2 linked regions of the Kluyveromyces lactis genome follow. The protein of the gene in region 1 interacts with the protein of each later gene in a pairwise test. Links are inferred from orthologs where the notes say so. Each region holds a gene or a part of one and is shown in the gene's direction. Other genes may lie near its edges.

What was found. The genes of interacting proteins can lie anywhere in the genome.
Region 2: the proteins of SLP1 (region 1) and EMP65 interact in binary tests that used the Saccharomyces cerevisiae proteins (3 or more experiments, as listed by UniProt). The link is inferred for Kluyveromyces lactis from reciprocal best matches to the Saccharomyces cerevisiae genes SLP1 and EMP65.

What each region holds. Positions count from the first base shown.
Region 1 is NC_006039.1:181,696-185,313, forward strand, and holds SLP1 (Slp1p), read left to right. Parts: upstream 1-1,279; coding exon 1,280-2,980; downstream 2,981-3,618. Other genes in the region: transcription initiation factor TFIID subunit TAF2, read left to right, coding at 1-991; KLLA0_C02233g (uncharacterized protein), read right to left, coding at 3,213-3,618. UniProt on the Saccharomyces cerevisiae protein: May be involved in membrane protein folding. Required for localization of MPS3 to the nuclear envelope.
Region 2 is NC_006042.1:1,171,674-1,174,952, reverse strand, and holds EMP65 (Emp65p), read left to right. Parts: upstream 1-1,146; coding exon 1,147-2,721; downstream 2,722-3,279. Other genes in the region: RRG1 (Rrg1p), read left to right, coding at 1-141; RNA polymerase II subunit B1 CTD phosphatase RTR1, read right to left, coding at 254-889; KLLA0_F12628g (NAD-dependent succinate-semialdehyde dehydrogenase), read left to right, coding at 3,043-3,279. UniProt on the Saccharomyces cerevisiae protein: May be involved in membrane protein folding.

The sequences.
Region 1 (3,618 bases):
GGCAGTACATGGTCTTTATCACTATGAAGATTACAATGAACTTCTAAGCTCAACCATGTTGGACCAACCAACAACTGACCATCCTGTAATCTGCCACGCAAGAGAAGGACTGCAAGACATTGCTTTACAGGCTCTCAAAATTTTGCTAGTTATAGGAGGGATCAAGAATAAGGAAGTTTTGAAGTATTATTTCGAAACGCTTTGTTTCCACCCTGATGTATATATAAGGACAAAGTTAGTTGATACCTTCGCTGGTGCAATTGATCTTATATCCTCTAAGAATAGCATATCTGAGATTGAAGACGATATTGATTACATGATGAACGAGATATGCCCCACTGACCCCACCACAGTAGCATCGATTGTTGTTGAAGATTTCACCAAAGAAGTTGCCCATAGAAGGGAAAAACAGTTGAGATCATCTATCAATGGTATGATAACGCTAACAAGACAAAAGTTCAAGGATTATGAACCTCTCAAAATGATAATGTGGGACGTGCTGCATTCCCCATTGATAAACGTATATCAACGGAAGAGGCTTTTCGATATAGCTAATGTGATATACCAACTGTACGATGCATACAACGTTATTTTGCCAGTCCCAAGGGATAAAAAGCTCGTTTGCAAGAATATCGGCAACAACACTGTAGTCATAAAACGTGAAGGAATACTCAAAGTTCATCTTGCACCACTGAAACCAGCAATTGTGGAACCAAAACATCCACCCACCACAATAAAAATTACAATACCGAAGAAGTCAACTTCCAAACCAAGTATGCCTGCTGTAGCAGCAAAAGCAAAAAAGAAGCCATCATCTGTTAAAGGTACTGTGACGAAAGTAGGGACGTTGCCCATCAGATTCCTCAAGATTTCCACTAAAACAAATTCGGTACATATTTCATCACTACCGCACAACCCTAACGTATCGATACTAAAATCAAATAGAAGAACCCTTTCTATAAAATTGAAAGTTCCGGCAAACAAAAAATGATTACATTAATGTAAGACATAATAAAATATTGTGAATTCTGCATGTACACCTTCGCTAACTTATATTTAACGTTTGGATTATTTGTGTCTATGTATGACGTATGCCGAAATAGTCAGAGTTTTTGAATATAATACCGGGTAACATAATCTTGTCTTTTTATTTGCAGTATGCAGTCAACTGTATCTTTATTCATTTTATTAAACCAACATTGGACGAACAACATACTCAGATGAGTTACACAAATGGAATAGCACCCTAGTTTAAGCTAGCAATGAACCAGTATAATACATGAGATATCTAGTATTTCTTTTGGTGCTATTTCTTGGGGTGAATTGTGAGGGAGATAGTGTACTATTTTCATCTGCAACTGATGTATTTGAAAGACCCAAACCGTTGAAAGTCACGACGGCTTTAGCTACGAAGAATTCAAACAAAAGCAGACCTTTACAAGTGTCTATGTCATCAACCATAAGGAATGTGCCTTTAGCTACTCAAGGCAAAGACAGTTCAGTCTTTAAATCTTTCAATGAGTGGAATAAAGAGAAACTGCGACAAAACAAATTAGCACAACAAGAGAGACCAAAACGTTCATTATTTCATAATAACAATAACGGTGATGTTATAAGAGACGAACTAGAAATGGACTTTGAGATTTTTAATGATGATGAGCCCGAAGGGAAAATCTACAAGGATAAATTTAACTATGCATCGGTTGATTGCGCAGCAACAATCATAAAAACGAATTCAGAAGCACAAGGAGCTGTCTCTATTCTTTTCGAAAACAAGGACAAATCACTTCTAAACCCATGCTCCGTTCCGAATAAGTTTTTTGTGGTTGAGTTATGTGAGGATATCTTAATTGAAAGCATTGTGATGGCTAACTTTGAGTTCTTTTCTAGTACGTTCAAAAATGTTAGATTCTCCGTGGCAGAACGATTCCCTGTACCAAAAAATGGCTGGAAGGTTCTTGGAGAATTTGAAGCTGAGAATATTCGTAATACTCAACAGTTTACAATTACGAACCCAATGATCTGGGCAAGATATTTGAGAGTTGAAGTTTTATCTCATTACGGAGAGGAGTTTTATTGCCCAATCACTCTCATTAGGGCTCATGGTATTGCAATGATTGATGAATTCAAAATGGAAGTCCAAAACGCAGGCGAGAAACTCGAAGAAGTGGTCTCAATTGAGCAAAAACTGGCGGAGGAAAAAGAAAAGTGCATGATACCAAGTTCATTCTTAACTAATAACATGTCAATAAACTTTGACCTAGACATCAACCATCAGTGTTTAGCATCCTTAAAGCACATGAATTTTGATGAATTTTTCACTGGTTATAAGGACAATGAAAATATCACTCAAGCAAAAGATTCATCTTCATTTATCCCGATAAATACCGAAGAATCAATCTTCAAGAATATTATGAAACGGCTTTCAGGTCTTGAAACTAACGGCACTATGTCTATTCTTTATATCGAGGAACAAAGCAAATTATTATCGAAATCCTTCGATAAATTAGAAGATTCATATAGTCAACAATTTGAAGCATTGGTTAAAGCATTCAACGAAACTATGACCTCGAATCTGGAGAACCTTAATCAATTCGCTTTGCAGCTTAGAGAAAGTTCAATTAAAATTATTGAAGAACAAAGATTGGCTACGGATAAATTTATCTCAACAACGACGAATAAAGTTGAGGAACTCGAAAATGCATATCAACACCAAGCTCGAGTTATGTATTTAATCCTTTTCGGTCTAATTTCGTCGATAATATATATTTCCCTGACTAGAGAATCCTATTTTGAAGAAGAAATGGTTGATGATGGTTGGTATACCGACAACTCTTCACTTCAAAAGCTCAAAAATAATATAAAAAGATCTGTGTCAGAAACAAAAGGCCATCCGTACACGGAAGCTGCTCATTACTCACCTATATCTTCCGACTCTGAATTTGAAGATGAGGACAGCATCGTAATACCTGCCAAATAATATGTTCTGTCTGTATTGTTCTATAGCTTTTATAGCATACCTATAATTCTGGAGAGATCTTTGATTTTAGAGTCAAATTGTTCTCAAAATGTGAATGCGCAGAACAGATGAGAGCAAAGATCTTAGTCATAGACAAATTCAAGGATATCATTTGTTAAAGGAGAACTGATTTAACCGTATATATTTTACACGTTTTCTATCGACTATTCAAAATTGTAAGGTAAGATATTCTTTAAATGTTCGGAGCAAAATCTGAAGATACACACTTTCGTAGTGGTGTCGGTAATCTGAGTGCTCGGGCATCTTTAGCCCTTGGAACGTCCACTAAATCTAATTCGTTATCTATAGATGATGCATCAGAAAGACTTCTTTTCGCTGAAAATACCGAAGCAGGGGTCCAAGGAGATGTTATTTCCGTAGACGACGCTGAACGGCTTGAGCCATGTAGTTCGTTATTTTTGAGAATCTCTTCCTTTAGTTCATCAGAACTCGGAAGTAAAACACTCTGATAAATTTTTAGCGGAAGCTCATCACGAATAGGGCCTTGTTGGCACAGCTCCAAGCCCACCATTATATCAGTGACCATATTTATCTGTTCGAGTAATCTTGTTCTATCATAAATTGGATTAAGAAGCGCC
Region 2 (3,279 bases), on another chromosome or scaffold:
AAAAAAAGGCTTGAACGATTCTTGGGCTTGAAAGCAGAGTTACCAACGACAAACCCATTTACCGAAGAGAAAAATTTAGGTGCTTTGCTTGTTAAATGGAGGTTCCTTAGACCAGATCAATTAGTGAAAGTTAAATCGTAAATAAAACTATTTTATGTATGACTATATAATGCAGGATTGTCCATATATTTTGAGTTATAGAGTCAAAATGCTCTACCTCAAATATGTTTGTACTTGTCATCATTCTGTCATTTCATCTATCTCGTCCTAAATCTCCAATGATATTTGGCTCGTTGATCTCTACGATCTTAATATCAGCTAACATGTCACTGATATCCCTTTCCATTTCCTCTCTACTATCATCGTCCGCGAGTTTCAAATCAGTCATACCACGAATCATCTGCTTAACATCAGACTCTCTAGCTAGTACTTCTTCGAGCAATTGTATCTCACTAGGTGGCTCATAATCGTCAAGATGTACACCGACCCTAGCAAACAAAGCCTCGTCTGAGAGCTGAAACTGGTAAAACTGTGAACATCTAAAATGAGCCTTAGTACAGTATTCTGTAAGGTATGCATATGGGTTATTTTGTCTTAAGAAATTGGTCATCTGTACATCTGCGAAGGGATCACGTACTCTCGCCTGGCTTTTGCTACAGAGTGGATATCCACAACGCTTCACCAAGTTCCTTTCTTGGACTAGATCCGCATAATCCTGTTTGGTAAGGAACCTTGAAATGTATTTCATCGTCCTTGCATCTTTCACGTCTTTTGTAATCAATAAGTCTATTAAATTGATACTTATAGTTTCCACTTCCCTTATGGTCAATTGTCGATGGTTTGTATAGGGTTTTAATACAACCTCTTTGATTTCTTCAATGGTAGCCATTGCTATAGTCTAATTATTTTGGTAAATTATTTCACGGTCGTAGTTGGTCAAGCAGCTGTATGAGGTCCCTTATTCATGTGCTTTTCTTAAGTTTACCTTCTTTACTTTGGCACTATCAACCCTTCGATGTGATTTAAGCAAGGACTTTATTTTAATTCAATGTAGATCGAATTCGAGCAGACAACAACAACAGAAGAAAGAAATATCCATGACGAAGTAAGGTCCTTAGCACTAACCGGTCAGTTGTGCCTCAACAAATGAGTTCACAGGATTCTGAAGCCCACCTCAAAAGGCGAAAGGCGAGGTCTAAGGAAAGCAGTTCTGGTGCTGGGAGAAGGGTATCGGTTGAACAAGACGTGAATACGGTGTCATCATCGATAAAGAACTTTATATACCAGGAGATTCTTCCCCAAACAGCCAAGGTATTCGAAGAGGAACCATGTGATCAGAGTGAGAAGTCTGTTGAATATGATCTGGAGCAGATTGCGAACATACTGAGGGTACCATTCCAAGTCGAGCAATTCTTTGTCTTTGCGATATTGACTTGTTTGAACTGCTTCTTGTATTACTTTACCATTATACCACTTAGGGTATTCCATGTATTAGTGGTGAAACGAGATGGTCCTAAAAGAATACGACAAGAGCTTCTTACTACTGCGATGATTCTTGGACCCTGTTCGATATTGAATGTCCTTGACACCTCAAGAATATATCATAAAATTAAGGGCCAAAATGCTATTAAACTATACATGATATTTCAGGTTCTTGAGATGACAGAAAAGCTCTTATCAAGTGTTGGCCTTGATCTATATTCAATTATCATGCTCAAGAAGAGTGCCAAACATAAGACAGAGATGGTAATGCTATATATTGCATGTTGTTTATGTTTAAGTTTCCACGCGTTGATATACATCTACCAGATTCTTGCCATGAACGTTGCGGTAAACTCGTATTCTAACTCCTTATGGACGCTACTGTTGTCAATGCAGTTTTCAGAGTTAAAATCTGCAGTTTTCAAGAGAATTGATAAAGAAGGATTGTTCCAATTGACTATGGCTGACGTCGTGGAAAGATTCCAGTTGATCGTATTTCTAACGGTCATTGCAGTGAGAAACTTTATCGTAGCAAGAAAGAGCTTGCGCGATGTTTTACCACACTCATGGAATGTTCATTCTACACAGTCCTTGATAGTTGGTATATTTATAGGGCCGATTGTCACAGTAATTGGAAGTGAATTGATAGTGGATTGGATCAAGCACGCATATATTATCAAATTCAACAGAATCAGAGCGCATATCTATGAAAGGTATTTGCAAATTCTTTCCAAGGACAACCTATCCAACAGTATCCAATTCCAAAAGAGGTTAGGTTTGCCGTTCCCGCCACTAATAGTAGCCTTCCTAGTACTGGTATGGCCTGCCATCAGGCAAACGATCAAGAATAATATCATCTGGTCCACTGTTCTGATAATATTTGGATTCCTATGGGCTCTACTCACAAAGCTAACACTTCAAGCAATACTGTTGAGATGGACGTTACATATCCAAAACAAACAAGCCAGCTTGCACCCAGATCCTTTGTATATCAATGGCCATCTCTCTGCTGGAAGAGGAATGATGGATGAGGATGCCCGCAAAATGACACACTCTAGCCAGACAAGAACTTATTCACCAACAATTACACCACCAGGATCGCCAAAACTCGCTGCTTTTGAAAAGAAGGCAAGCATCCCACCTAGCCTCAACGAGCAAAGAACCAAGAGAGATCTGAAGCATCCTAAATCGCTAGAGTCCGTTGAAAGATACAAGATGGTATCAAAGAGGATTTGGTAATATTTAGGTGCCTTAAGCAAAGGGCATAGCAAAATGTAGTGATTATACAGCAATATATAGACCGAGCATAGCAAGATTAAATAAGAATTATCAGAATTTGATGCATGCTGATGTTAACTTCGGCTCCGTCTCCTCTTTCCAACCTTAAATAGTGTATCATCTCTACACTACATAATGGATATTATATAACATTTAATATGACGCACTTTTTGCTATTAAGAGCAAGCATGAAGCAATAAGAGCAGAACTTTGTATATAAACGGCGATCCTAATGGCTAACAAATTGTCAAGTCGCTGAGTGTGTTATTTCCAAGAGTTAAGATGTTCCGCAACTCGAATACCCTAAGAACGCTAAACCTATTAAGAAAGATGTCTTCTAAAATTGAGAACGATTATTTGATACAAACCAAGGCCTTTATCAACGGTAAATGGACAGAAACTGACGACAAGTTTGCTGTAACCAATCCCTCCACCGGTGATACGATCCGTGAGGTTACGAACTGCGGTGTTTCAGATTTTAACAAGGCTATCGAAATTGCCCATGATGCATTCGGGACG